Linked DNA regions of Styela clava. The protein of the gene in region 2 purifies or fractionates together with the protein of the main gene of each other region. This does not show direct contact. Links are inferred from orthologs where the notes say so. Each region holds a gene or a part of one and is shown on either strand. Other genes may lie near its edges.

Region 1 (6,915 bases), on a different chromosome or scaffold from region 2:
TAACGCATGCTTTTTTTCGAATAAAGCAACAGGTGTCGCGGTTTTCTGAATTTCCTTCACCCTGAAATACCATTCCTACTTCTCAATTCATAAAGTGTATTTATGTATTGTGGAAAAATAAACTAATGATTGTACAACTCCCAAGGCGGTCCTCACCCACTTCGTGGTCTGAAAAGTGTATACACAACTGTTGCACCTGAGTACCTTCAGTTTAAAGGTATGTGTAGTAAGCTAACCTGATGGAGTGTCTGTGTCACTATATATAATATTGTTCAATCTGGAGCTAACAGGCTAATTTTTGCGCAGAGGTGCGGCCGATCACAGTTCACATTAAAGATTTAAACCAGGACCGACTTGGTGAATCTAGAATTCGATTTTTTCAGCCTTGGCTCCCTTCTTTATTGTAGTCGAAAACTTGGGCTGTGGATTCACTTCTTTAACTTCTAATACGAATTCCCACCAACTACTCCTTTGAAAAGGGATATTAGTTTACTAGCTGCACACAAAGTTAGGTTTTTTCCATTTCATTTAGAACTCCAAAGTATTTCTTCTTAATTTATTTTTCAGCACTGCTCTGTTGGAATAGGAGACTGCAGGTTCAGTTAATAAGCGCTATAATATAAGAGCAATCAATCATGCTTGTATGAGAATGATGGCCCTCACTTAATCTACAAAATTGAAAATAATATTAAATCTGCAAATTTACCAGAGCAATAAACTTTTATTTTTATAAGTGGCAAAGGAAGAAATAAGTTATCGGAAAATAGACTTCCTTAACAGCTAAGTCAAGGGTACATTGTGAAAAAGCTAAATTATCATTCAAGAATCGATATCTCAATTTCCACTAAATAATATATTGATTGCCGCTTCAACATTTCCTTGTGTTGCAGTTAATGCATGCCTACTGGCTTCATCATCAGTTATACCCATTGAATGAAGCTGTTCAAGTCCTGCTCGCATTACATCCTCACTTAACACAGAATCATTGCTTCTTGGAGCAGAACTTTCACTTTGTAGAGATTGAGAGACTTCTCGAAGACCAGTTGACATTAATGCTTCTTGCATCGCTTGGTTTAAAGCTTCTGGTGTGAGCTGCTGAGGTCTGGTTTCATTTCTTTCTTGAGGTGTAGTTGATGTATTACTGGTTGTGTTTGAGTTTGGTGTATTGAAAGCTGAATATGGAAAATTGTAGCCCTCACTTGGTGGTGTCGCTTGCGCAATAGCGGCAGATAATTGAGACAAAGTTATCATATTAGAAGCTTGGTTTGAAGATGAAGGATGACTTTCATTTGACTGACCCGCATCCACGTCCATAGAAACCGTACTGCTTGTGGAAGCTGCTGTATTGGAGTATTTACTGGAGGTCATCAATGTATTCCACATTGCCTCAAAAGCTATGGCCAAACAAGGGTGCTTTTCAACAATATTTTTCAAATATTTTGGATTAACTATAACTTTAAACAACTTTGCATTCTGCAGAATATCCATTGCTGCACGGTCCTCTCTGAGCCCTGATATGTTTGAAATAATTTTGTCAATAGTTTTTTTATCTTCAAAAAGTTTGGTAAGTGCTGATTTTTTATGCGATCGATTCTCATGTTGAATCATGGTAGCCAAACCATAAGAAGCATTTTGTACTTTAGCGTAATCTATCTTCGGAACATCCTGTTTTGTTGATGGTAATTTCTTTCTAATAGCATGGAGTCTATTACCTGACTGCAATCCCCACTCCTTCATCTCTTGGTCAGGATTACAGTCTAACCGTTTCAATCCAAAATACAACTCGTAATCATCCGAAGATAAACCAAATGTTGAATTGATTTTTTCTCTAAATTGTTTATAAATAGGTGATTGCACATCCAAAACTATCTGCTCAGATCTGTGGATATTTTCATTATCTATATAAGACACATGGAGCTTGAATGAGTTCTCCATGCTTTGTAATTCATCAGATAATCTAAATGGCAAAACAAAAATGACAGTTAACTGTAATAAAGTTGTTTTAATACAGAATTGATTTATTAGGAATAAGTTGAATTTCAAAAGAACAAGGTCGCCACTCGCCACACTTGTACAATACTGCTACGTAATAATATGGAATTAGTCAATTCTGATATATGGTAGAGGCATTCCATTTCCATATAAAAAAACTAATATATTTATTTGAACAACTTTCATTTTATCCAAGAAAGGTGTTTTTCATACATTGTGAAAATTTGTTTGATTGATTTGCATGGATGGTTGTATCCCAAATTAAACGGACATTGCATTCAATACATCAACCTTTTTCTGAGTGGGAAAATCGCCAGAAATGACCATGCCTTATGCTTACATAAATATAACTTACTATCATACAATTCTGTACAAGAAGATTTTTCACAGTAAAAATGCCCACATTTGTGAGGCCATAAACATTTGAACTGTTATACCCATATGTCCTACTTATTTGGGAAATATGTCAACATAAAAGCCTCGAACAGGGTGACCTAAAAAAACACAACCCAGGTCATTCAGGATATATTCTAGACTCTAAGAGTTAACATAATTTTTGTGCGGAGCGTCTTACATTGCTGAAACTTTCGGGTACAATAAATCACTTTATAAGAAAGTTATGGGTTCTGTTCTTTGGGGGTCACCCTGCACATACAAGAGTGGAGATAGTTCAATCGATCAAAAATTGAATTTCAAAATTACATTTAAACAGGCCTAATGATCATAAAAATTTTAATTTAGCAGCTTGTTACTGAAATTATAAAATTCTGAAAGATGTGACTATTCGATAACATAAAAGACAATCATATTCAAATACAAGTATCAAATATGTGTTTTTTATTTTGCGGAGGAACAATTTTGATTCTGCCATCACCAGGTATTCAAGCAGTATGATCAGTCAAATTAATTAAGGAAGGTTGCTTTATCACCAATCATTGTCTGCTGGCATAGGACGGGTCACACCGAACAAAAGTGAACTAGATCCTAGTTCACTACATATATTTTGTTCTACATATTCACTTTTTAACAATTTGTAAAACATCTTCGTGACATAATTGGTGAGTCAAGCCTACATGTTGACCATTGTATTTTGCGCTCCTTCCCCAGACTTGAGCATATTTAAAACCTGATACTAACGATCTATGCACAGCATGGCAAGCATGCTCCACAGTACAATTTGCACGTAAAATCAACCCATCACTAAAGTCTGGCTTTTTTGCAGGCTTTTTTGTATATACAGTCATAAGAGCCAAATACTCCCACATTTTTTCGAGTAGATAGTCTAAATTCAATTTCATGTTGCAACTGATGACAACACTATGTGGTTGTCGTGCGATCCTGTCAACCTCCTCAATTGAAATTTGATCAATTTTATTGTAAACATAAAGGCATGACATATATTTTCTATTCCCAACTACAACATCAATAAATTCGTCTGGTCCATAATCATCGCGAAAGAGAACTTCAGCATTAAAAATCTTGTATTCGTGAAGGATTAGTTGAACCATTTTCTCGTTTATTTTTGTCAACACGCATGTAGAGTTGAATGACAGTCCTCCACCTTTTTTAAGTTTGAAGTAAATATTTGGAACCTTTTTGTTGAGACGAATTCCCACGGCTTCTAACTCTAGGGTGAGGAGTTCTTTCTGTTTTTCACCCTTTGCAGCATCCAGCATCATAACAACAACATCTGCTGTTCTACCAACTGCAATGACTTGACGACCTCGACCTTTACCACCCGCTGCACCTTCGATAATTCCTGGTAAATCAAGAAGTTGAATATTCGCCCCATTATATTCAATTACTCCAGGGATGCAAGTCAAAGTTGTGAACTCATAAGATGCTTGCTCACTTTCCGTGTTGGTTAACGTAGACAATAGAGTTGATTTGCCGACAGAAGGAAATCCAATGAGAGCTACGCGGGCATCACCCGATTTCATGACATCAAAACCTTCCCCTTTTTGTCCAGATCCCTTTGGCCCTTCAAGAAGTTGAGCTCTATACTTTGCTAGTTTAGCTTTCAGCAGCCCAAGATGATATTCAGTGGCTTTGTTTTTTTGTGTCCTTTGAATTTCCTTCTCAACTTCCGATATCTTCTCTAAGATACCCATGGTTTATAAGAAACTTACGAGCGTTCTCTCCAATTTGAATTCCAGAAGCAAACTAGAGCTTGATAGTCTAATTATCTTTCAAATTCAGTAATTTACAGAATAATTTTTATAGGGTTTTTCCCAGTCCACATTCACTATTACATTAACTGCTGAATTGAAAAACAGTATTCAATAAAACTTGATAGCATTTACAAATTTAGCAAATAGATCGGTATGTATAGTTTTGTACCACATGCACTTCTAGTTGGCCTGGCTCAACAAAATCTGAGCCTCTAAAGCAGAGTGATGCGCTACATTGCCGTACCCTTTGTGAAGCTATCAGCAAAACACAAAATTGTGACTGACAGAATCGCAGAAAATACCCACGCGTAAAATTAAATGTTCCCAATGATTTTTAAAAGAAGGTGTATATTTTGATTAGTTTCACAATAGCAAATAAAGCAAAACAATCATTAACTACACTCCTCTTATTGTTAATATATAGTAAACAAGCTAAAGCGTCTGTTACAGTGCATAAAAATTTTTTATACTTTTTTGAGAGTTGTTTAAAAATGACTGAATTTTCGTCGTTTAAGACGGTCGTTTCATGAAAACCTCCAATAAAGGCAGCATTGCAACACCATTGGTAAAAAGTAGAAACCTCAAAGATTCGATTTCATTATGTCAGAACAGTCTCAGCACGTTTTGACTTGGCCATATATAATACTAAACATAGCGTATAATTTTCAATTTTATGCACAATGTATATACAACAAATTTAAAACTGATTTTGTGTTTCAACTAAATTTACTGGAGTTCATAAAAGAAGATATTTTCCTCTTTGTCACACAACAATAATGCACTTTAATAAACTTAGAATAAGTTGAGGAAAGTCTAAAATACCAAAAAAAAATTACGCCCTCTTGTGGATTCTTTAATAAATATCACAAAATTATCGTTTTTGAAAGGGCGATTTCTCAAAAACCGCCAATAAAGGCAGCACTACGACACATTCGGAGAAAAGCAGATATCCTATAGATTCGATTTTAATATGTCAGAACAGTAGCAGCACGTTTTAACTTGGCCATATATGATACCAAATATAGCATAAAATTTTCAATTTTATCAACTATGTAGATGTAACATATTTAAAAACGGTTTGGTATTTCAACCAAAGTTACTGGATAATTCATCAAATACTTTTCTCTCTTGGTCATACATCAAAACTGTACGTTCATTAAACTTGGAATAAGAGGCAAATCTTAAAATAACAAAAAATGATGGATATTTTCGGAATTTCGAAAAAATATCGTTTTTGAAAGGGCAATTTCTCAAAAACCGCTAATAAAGGCGGCACTACGACACATTCGGAGAAAAGCAGATACCTTATAGATTTGATTTCATTATGTCAGAACAGTAGCAGCACGTTTTGACTTGGCCATATATAATACCAAACATAGCGTGTATTCAAAATGTAATAAACAATGCAGACGTAACATATTTAAAAACCGTTTGGTATTTCAACTAATTTACTAGATAATTTATCAAACATCTTTTTCTTTTGGACATACATATATTCTGTACGTCCATTAAACTTGGAATGAGTTGCGGAAAGTATAAAATAATAAAAATCATTTTACGCGTGGATTCTTTTCATTATTCTAAAAAATATCGTTTTTATAAGGGCGATTTCTCAAAAACCGCCAATAAAGGCAGCACTACAACACATTCGGAGAAAAGCAGATACGTTATAGATTAGATTTCATTATGTCAGAACAATAGCAGCACGTTTAAACTTGGCCAAATATATTGCTAAACATAGCGTGAATTCAAAATTTCATAAACAATGCAGACGTAACATATTTAAAAAGTGCTTTGTATTTCAACTAAATTTGCTGGATTATTATCAAATATATTTTTCTCCTTGTCGCACATCAATATGTCTATTAAACTTAGAATAGGTTTCAGAAAGTATAAAATAATAAAAAACATTTTACGCACCCTCGTGAATTTGTTTTAAAATTTCGAAAATTATGGTTCATGGAGTGGCGATTTCTCGAAAACCGCCAATAAAGGCAACATCACACCCATTCGGAGAAAAGCACATACGTTATAGATTCGATTTTATCATGTCAGAACAGTAGCAGCACGTTTTGACTTGGTCCTATATAACACCAAACATAGCTTATATTCTTCAATTTTATAAACAACGTAAAAGTAACAATTTAAAAATGGTTTGAGTTTCAACCAAATTTGCTGGATAATTAATTAAATATCTTTTTTTTCTTTGTCGCACATTATTACTGTACGTCTAAACTTGGAATGGGTGGCGGAAAGAATAAAATACCAAAACTCGTTTAAGCCCTCTGGTGGATTTTTTTACTTTTAAAAAATTAATCGTGTTTGAAATAGCGATTTCTCGAAAAACCCCAATAAAGGCAGCACTACGACACATTCGGAGAAAAGCAGATACCTTGTGGATTACGCACTATAACTTTTTTTTAATTTTCCCAAACATACGCTTTTAGAGTGACGGTTTCTTGAAAACCGCCAATAAAGGCAGCATTACGACACTTTCGGATAATCGAAGATACATTAAAGATTCGATTCCACTAAACCACAACAGTAGAAGCACAATTTGATTTGGCCATATATAACATCAAACATAGAGTATATTCTTCAATTTTTGAATAATGCTAACGTTAAAAATTTATAAAGCTGTCATATTTTAAACGAAATTACTGAATACTTGTTCAAATATAATTTTTTCTCAGTCACACATCAATACTGAACAAGGCGAAAAATATATTTGATCAATTATCCAGCAAATTAA
Region 2 (8,951 bases):
GTACACATAGTACATTATAGTAGGCCCCTACGTTATTAGTACCATCATAGCAAGTAAGTTGCATATTAAAAAATTAACAGCAGAAATGTGTCTAGTCGTATATGTGAAAATATATTTGCTCCGTTATGTGTGTCAAACACTATCTAAAATGATCCCTTTTATATAGACTAATGTCTGAATATAATTGTCTGAGTTTGACAGCATAACTGTTAGCAAAAAATTCATTTGTATATATTACCTAGAACTTATAGCACCAGTTAAAACTTCCAGAGGGCGCTTTGGATTTGGAGACAAAATATCATCATCTTCTGCTTGAGAATGTGGTATGCTACTGCTATCACTTGCCAATGACTGCAAAAATAAAATTATTGTCAGTATCAGAAACATCAGATTTTATTTTATTCAAAATACATGCTTTGGAATATCAAATAATAAATCTTTTGTTTGCCATATTCAGTGAAATCTTGATTCAATTTATAGTGCATATCAAAATTTTATTGCAGAAATTAGCCATCTATAGCCAAAGTGATAGCCAGGTCATATCGCCATAAAAACAATTTGTCAATGGGAAATTGTCTCTGAATAAAACCATCCATCCATTCATCTTACTTTCCAAGCCAAATGCATGTCGTATTTGTTGCTCAAAATCGTGATAATGGCTTCAATATGGAATCACTTTCCTAAACCTAACATACAACTTCAAGATATCAACCTCATAAAACATAAAAAATTTAAATTCAAAGTTTTTCAATTTCAGTTGAATACTGATACTTATTCAACAATGACTTGAATAAAAACTCACACTTGTTGCTGAAGATCTCGCTACTTTATATCTTGGACTTGAAAATTCTGGTGAAGTATCTAGAGATTTAGAGTTTCCTGTCAAATAATGTTCAATAAAGCATGAATTTAGATATGATCAGTGACAAATCAATGAAGCGGCTCCAGCCAATAAGCATGTATTGGTATGGTATTGATTACTTTGCTTGAGACATAAAAAGACAGTCTTCGCAAGGATTAGATGAAAGGAAAACGGTGGGTTATATATAGATATAAACTCGATTAGACACTTCAAAAAACTTATGCATACAGAAAGATCATGCTCAATTCCAGTGATTTTTATCTCGGTAAACTGCTGAGCAGAAATAAAAAGTGTGTTGTTTGGAAAGAAAGCGGTAGAAACAAACCAGGAATTTTGAGAGAATGAAAGAAAAGAAACACTTTTCAAATATATTTTAAAATTATGATTCACAAATAACCATTTTTTATGCTTCCAATCTTGCTCAAACGCATGTACATGTTAGCACAACCATATTGCAATGTATATGCTCACAACTCTGATATATGCATGAATGTAAAGGTACTTCTGTACACTTTTTGGGAGTCAGATTTCGTTGTATAACAATATGCAAATTAGAAAATATTTATGAACCTTTTTTGCTTTCTTTATCTACTGGAGTTGACTGTGGGGAGCTAGTATCTCCGCCTAAGCGTGCAAGCCGGCGTCTTCGCATCTGCATCAAAAATGTCGGTAAAAAATGCAAACAAACTGAAAATCGCTTACTCAACAAGTAAAGAAATCCAATATTAAAATTATATGTAAATGATGCCCAGAAATATGATTTAATCATTATAGCAATAGGTCTATAATTCTTATCTTAATATTCCATGTCACATGAAGAAATACTCCCAGTTATCAACTTGTACAACTATACCATGGCCCAAGTCCTTTCGTTGTGAAATATATCCTATAGGACATTTTTATTTTATTACAAAAAAAATATAACCAAACTGTTTACCATGTACGGTAAAAGCATACCGTAATTTTATTCAATTCTTACCTCATCTTGAGTGATTGTGTTTTCACTCATTTCAGTGGTAGGTATTTGTGTAACAGCCGACCCAAGTGAATCATACAAAAATTAATTTTGTCTAGAATAATTATTCTTAATTTATCTAAAAACATAATAATGTTGAACACAAATTAGGTTAATTAATAAACCATCAAAAGCACAAGTAAATATAAGTTTAGTACAATAAGCATAAGTACATCTCAGACATGGAGTCGTTATAAGACAAAAGACAACCCAGATGTGTGATGTTGAACTATATTCAATACCGGTATTTTGAATCTTTGATCTGGAACACTAATAATAGGAGTGACAAAACTTATCATATTTTATCAGTATGACAAAAATCATCAGATTCTTTTCTACTGTAAGTGAGTCGTAATGGAGTCTAGTCCACGATGACCGACAAAAAACATTGGATGGATGCCTTATTCCAAAAGAAAAGTCATACATAACACTCTCAAAATCCAACAACCAGGTTTAGACATTTGCTTTTGGCCTTATGGGCAAAATTTGAACTTATTGACACATTTGTTACCTTTGTTCCATACCTCACTTTATCACACACCAAACCAATGACCATGGATTGCTATCAGTTTTGTACAACTGGACCCCCGACTGCGGCATGACTACATTAATTTAACATAATTTGACTGTAATGACTGAATGATGATGAATTTTTATTTCGTTGGCTTTTTTATTATTAAATATGACACATAACCTAAAGAAAAAGCATGTATTTTTATAAAAGAGTAAGAAGCCACAATTATTGAAAGTCTCAGGAAGGGGACCATCGATTATGAACGTTTGAGAACCACTGGTCTGAATTGTTTTCCTGATGATTGGCCTGATATATGCGGTACTGTTGTGCCACCGCTAACCTACCATGAGTCTGTAACATGGATTACTTTTTGCTTCCCATTGGAAAAAAAAACTTTTCCTGGATGAAAACAACAATAACTTCTTTCTTCAGTTAGTGAATAGAAACAACCTTTTATTTATTTTTTCTATTAAAATCTCGATAAACAATATTTTCATCAAGTGCTGCTGCATCTTTGAGAACTTTCATAAACTTTTGATTCAATTCTTGAGTACCTTTGTCATCAGGATTTGTATACTTCATATTTTTCTTTATCTTTATTTGACTGGAATCTTTCATAATGCTCCAGTACATAGTGTAATACACAATACCACCAACCGTTGTATAAAACAATAATTTGTAGCCTCTCATGAGTCTTGTACTTATGAAGAAATTTATGTCACAATACAGCAATAGTAATAAAGAGATACTGTAATGGAAAAAATGATATCATTTTTGGAGAAAATGAAAGATGAATACAGGAATATGTCTATCAAAGATGTCAAGAGATAACAAAAAAAATCTTACAGACTTAAGCTGTGTTCAAAGCAAAAATTGTCTACAGTCTGACAGTGGTGACAGCATAAAGTTTATTAATATGGTCAAGCATTTAGCTGGCCTCAATTCAGTAATTAGACTTTCATGCTACCACTGTACCAACTGTTTTCAAAATTGTTAGACAGGTGACTTTGAGCAGCGCATTTCGAACATGACAGAGAACAGGAGAAGCTGTTATAGACTTTTATAGTGTTCTTTTGACTGTTTTTGATGGAGGGGCATGTACTTCTGTACTTGTACGTTTTAAACTTTTTTTGTAAGTTATGCCCATCATCCTCTGCATTTTGTTTGTCAGTTTGTTGTTGTTTTGTTTCTTTCAGAGTGATCGAAATGAAATTGATTGATTGAAACTCCGTTTAGTTTAAATTACCAACAAACATGGATAACAGTATGAAGTGAGACATTTTCAAAATAGACTGATAGATGAATTATTGCTGAATTCAGGCATTGCATTACCTACCATACCATATTCATTATTTCCTTATATCACTGCAGCACTGTGCTATAACCAGATAACACCTACCTTCAGACCTTACAACCGTATTGTACTTACTGACCTAACTTACCGTAGCTTAAGACAATGACCTTCCGGGCCAACTTTCAGACAGTCACTGAACACTGCAACATCTGAACATGCAGACGTGTCCAGATGCCTGTATGTGTCTACCTAACCTCGTAGCTTTGGTCTCTTGGTGGAACCATTCCTTCTGTCTGTCTGTCAAGCTCAACTAAACATATCGACTGCGCTGTACACATTCTGTGGCAGAGTGACAATTGCAAAATTCTGTAAATGCATAGCAACAACAACATGGGCGAACGACTGGAAAGAAAGAAAATGCTGACAAACAGCTGAGTCATCATCAGGCGAATCCGCCAGAAGTGACACATACACACATTTCCCTCAGTCGTGGGGCCGCCAGATAAATGAATATAATGAATCTCTATCAACTCGTTGTTGCTCTAATTTACGGGTTAAGTATGATATTACCTCAAGGATAAGAATCATTATTTGAACGAAGAAATAACGATGGTTGAAACTTATCCCAATATAATCTCTTTTCACTTCTATCAAAGTCAGCCCAATGAGAATATATATTCCCAATATATACTGTATATATCAAGATTTCTGAATATATGTTGTCATTGGTCAGACGGAGTTATCCTGTGAGAGTGGAAAATGTGGATGCTGAACCAGATGATTTATCACCCAGTATTTCAAAGTCTCCTAGCCATTTCCATGCTCAAAGGGCAATATTCTGCCCAAACAATTTATCAGTGTATGGATTCCTTCTAGTGCATAGTTTCTTGGATAGGTCGCCGACCCTTCGCATCGCTTCACAGATACAATTTCTAATTATTTTTTTATCTTTGGACCTGATGTGAAAACTGTTCTACATGCAATGATAAATCTATCTGCACCAGCTTTAAAATAACCATATCAGCTTTCAATTTCAAGACCACTCTCCATACCTACCCGAATTCAAGCAAAAATAGACCACTGGTGCATTTCTCACATTTTGGAACAAACAGCTCAAAACAGAGCAATATCACATGATAACAACAGTCAGCTTGGTGTGTGGAAACTTAAATTGGACATATAAAAAAATTCACTTAGAAACAAAAATCCTGCAGAAGAATACAAAGACAAATTGAAAAAATTGTGTTAATATAAGAAAGACCAAATATGATCAAACTGAAGATCAGGAAATATCAGTATTGTATATCTAAAGAGGATAAAGGATAATCCATTATTATCCGAGGATAGTTAGAATTGCAACAACACCTATGATCTGGAACAATATAAAATGTTTTCATCTTATTGAAACTGAACATTAGAAGAATTTTAAACTGAGATGAAAGCACCACAGAACAGGTCAATTCAACAGGTGTTTACTTTTATTTCTCAGCGCCTCAACCTTCCAGCAAACACTGATACTTCATAAAGTCAGCAATTCTGTCACTTCAGCATCCGCCAATATCACACGAAATGATCACCATCATCCTTTGTCTTTATTGTGCTCCACAGCATAATTTTTATTCTGTCATCTATCAACTTTGTGCGGTTGCGGTGATGAAGCCAAATGTTTCTCTAATGTTTCCTGTGCAACAATAATATTCAGCTTTGAGAAAAAATTAATGGCACCAGATAGCAATGTTGTGGGCAAATAATATTAAAATTTGATATCACACAGTAAATTAATCACATTAGTTTGCTTTTCAAAATAAATTTAGTATGAGGCAACTTCCAAACTGATGTGAATACAGGCTCTATATACCGCCATTTAGATTGCATTACAATGGGCATACATTACCATATACATTATACATATAGACATGCAAGGTGAAATAACATTATATGCCAGTCATTAGCATCATGACCTTATTTCATAACAAAGTCATCATTAACACATTGCATTGTATATTTTGTTTTAATCTTGATTAATAAAAATAATATTATTTCTCATCTTATATTATAACCTTTACTACCTACTTCAAATTTTTTCAAGTGCTGAATTAAGTTATCTTTTTTAAAACGATGTGCTTCTTTGATCACAGAACACAACACTGGATGCCAACTTGACTTAGGACCTTTTAATTTTTGAAGCTCGTTGAAAATATTGATGTCATCTACAGATAAAAAAAAATGTTGGACAATTCAAAATATGCAAATGCTGATGAAATGGTAACTGCAATAAGAAGTGAATTTAATCCATCAAATGAGGAAGGTGGCTGTACTAATGTCATCATAACGGAATTACTAAAATCAAATCAATGATTTAGTGATGGGATTCACTCGAGGAAGTTACATTTCAACTATTTGCATAAAACTCATTTAATCTCTCAAGTGATAGCCTTGATAGAAAATCCCATAAGCATATCTTCAGTTACAGTAATGATGAAGTCCAGTGATAGCCTTGATAGAAAATACCATACCCATAAAAGATAAGCTTAGCATCAGTTACAGTAATCAGTCCAATTAACAGTGGAAGTTCTTATTTTATGTGTACTTACTTTTTCCTGGTTTTCTGACAAACTTAATTACTGTATCCTTGATGCTAGAGTTTGCGTTTTCAATTTCTGCAGTTGCTTTATTAGATTTGGGTTTTTTCTGTTTGTGTTTTCTATGCATAGTTTTCCATACACTGTCATTTGTTAAACCCATTGAATCACTTAGTGACATATTATCAGATCCTTTACCATTGAGTAAGTCTGAATGCTTCAATTTTGGCTCCAGTTCTATCATTTCCGACATATTATGCTTTAAATTAGATTTCAATGCTTGCAGCTTGGCTGCAATATCAGAAGGAGTCGTTTTAATTGCAGATGGTTCAGTCAGTTCTAAAGCACCATTGGGAGGACGAGTTTCTCCATTTAAAAAAGCATGAGGTAAAGAATTATGATTATCAGTAGTCTGATGGTTGGTAACCACAGCAGCAGGGTTGGTTTGATTGTTGACGAAACCAGGTGTGGATAAATGACTCTTCTTAAACACAGGTGGTGTACCGGGTCGCATTGGACTAGCTGATCGCTTTCTCCTGTTTCTTTTTCCGGCATCGCCTGATCTACCTGATTTATTACCAGATGATGGTGCATCATAATCTTCTGTTTCATCAATCATCATGCCCTACAGGATGGAAAATCCAATTAACTACCAATATTCAGATTATAAATGACAAAACTTTTATACCAGCCCAGACTTCCCAGGTCATTAAATTAATTTTATGCTGTACATTGAAGATAAACTAGTAATACCAAGGACCATTACTCAAACCTGTTAGAAATTCTTCTAGAAAACCGCCAAAACGTTACATTTACCTTTTCTTTTGCCAGTTTGAATGGATTTCCAAATGTGTGAAGTCGTTTAGGTGTGTCTGGATCAAGTTCCCTAAGTGGTTGGGGAAATTTCTTCAAATATTCTTGGTAGTTTCCCATTGTTGAAATTGGTTGATTGTGCAATTCAGCTAAAGCAAGATGTAAAAGTTTCAGCAAACCGTATAATACCAGATAGGGTATTTATTTAATTTTAGAGGAAATAGATCAAATGGCCTAAGCATATGTTGAACCATAGTCTCTCGTCTGGTTACCAGTTAGCAAGTGGGAAATGGGAATAGTTGACCAGGTATTTTTCATCTGCATGATGGGGGAGAAATTCGCAACCGATCAGTGGCTATGTTAACCACCCTACGGCACTAATGAGTCCAGCTGTCCTCTCTCACATTTCCCCCTCACAGGATTTAAAATCAACTCTTGATATCATATAAAAAAAATATGAAATGAATGATGGGTAGTTAACCAATCTCTGCATTCCATGATATCTACTAGTAAAACCCGATCTAAGGGGTTTTATTAAAAAGGTACCTTTGTCTTGAAGTCTTATTCTTGTTAACTGATTTGATGATAAAACTCTGTGGAAATTCACTTTCATTTTCCGAACTTGATTCAAAAGTTGAGATCTTGGAACATCAAAAGCATTATGATACATCCGCCTTCCTTTCATACCATCCCCCGAATTTACCCCGATGTGAAAATTGGGAAATTCATTCAAGTCAACCTGTAGTAAAAGAGCAGGGGGGCATGTAACAAGACTTCTATGTATATGTATCACATAACCAAATGCATGTTGTATTTAATGCTAGCTTATTCTATTGTAAAAAACTATATTTAATCGGCAACTACATCTTGCATTTTGAAGACATACAGTGGATAGTATGCAGATCCTACTGTACAATAATTGAGTAAAAAAAGCTATTGGATTAAATGAGTCTTTCCATTTTGACTCCATCGCGTGATAAGGATCACTTATCTGTCTCTGAGACTTGAATGGTATCAAAATATCAATGCAAACCATTACCTTTGGCATCAAGGATGCGTTTTCAGTTACAGAAGCGAGAATTTGATTAAAATTGGGAAGTTGTGTCACAGAAAGTGTGTTGTATCGACCAGAAATGCTGATTCCTTTGTTGACGTAAGGAGGTATGTGTCCCACTGAATTCATTATTCTATCAGCACTTGCCTGTAAACAAGACACAATGGTATAAAGTAATAAAATGAACATTTATTGTTAAATAATATCATTTTGATAGAATAGCTTGAAATAACTAATAAAATTTAGTTTTTACCTTGGCCTGTTGCTTCAATTTTTTGAAATATGAAAGTACAGAATGACTAAGACCAACTTCAAGAGAATCTGGAACAAGATTTGGAACTCCAAGTTGCCGCATTGCTTTTCTTACAGCCTAAAGATAAATATTCAAAACTGTGAATGACATACTTAAGCTGAAAGTATGAAAAATAAACTTATTTACAAGTGTATATCAAGTACTTGAATATACAACATCTTGGTACTACCCATTTATTATATCATATTAATTTTCACGAGAAATTTCAGAATCACTCTTTATGAGTTTTACACGTTTTTCTCTTGAAAAAAAAACATCTGCTATGATTGTTATTTTTACCACACACGGAGGAAATTGACATTACATACAACAACCTTAAACACCTACCACACAAGAATTTCTAATTCGAATATAATTTACTTACACCAATATAATAACTTGGTAACATTTTTAGGTAATCTTCAAGTTCCACTCTCAAGCTCGGAATCATTTTCATCTTGTTTTTTATCAACTTATCTAGAAAATAAAATTGATACAAATTTACCTACATTATTCAGAGAAGAA

The links.
Region 1: the proteins of ubiquitin conjugation factor E4 B-like (region 2) and ubiquitin-like protein 7 purify together in Homo sapiens (affinity purification with mass spectrometry; 3 studies listed by BioGRID and IntAct, counting the BioPlex papers as one, with this or other methods). This does not show direct contact. The link is inferred for Styela clava from reciprocal best matches to the Homo sapiens genes UBE4B and UBL7.

The regions. Positions count from the first base shown.
Region 1 is NC_135250.1:12,765,227-12,772,141, reverse strand, and holds ubiquitin-like protein 7, read right to left. Parts: upstream 1,939-6,915; 5' UTR 1,936-1,938; coding exon 835-1,935; 3' UTR 702-834; downstream 1-701. Other genes in the region: developmentally-regulated GTP-binding protein 2-like, read right to left, coding at 3,009-4,103.
Region 2 is NC_135256.1:17,029,298-17,038,248, forward strand, and holds the start of ubiquitin conjugation factor E4 B-like, read right to left. Parts: upstream 3,401-8,951; 5' UTR 1,872-3,400; coding exon 1,842-1,871; intron 1,515-1,841; coding exon 1,433-1,514; intron 880-1,432; coding exon 803-879; intron 352-802; coding exon 239-351; intron 1-238. Other genes in the region: integrator complex subunit 6-B-like, read right to left, coding at 5,310-5,366, 5,759-5,895, 6,280-6,892, 7,084-7,229, 7,627-7,819, 8,120-8,281, 8,388-8,504, 8,812-8,903. UniProt on the Homo sapiens protein: Ubiquitin-protein ligase that probably functions as an E3 ligase in conjunction with specific E1 and E2 ligases. May also function as an E4 ligase mediating the assembly of polyubiquitin chains on substrates ubiquitinated by another E3 ubiquitin ligase.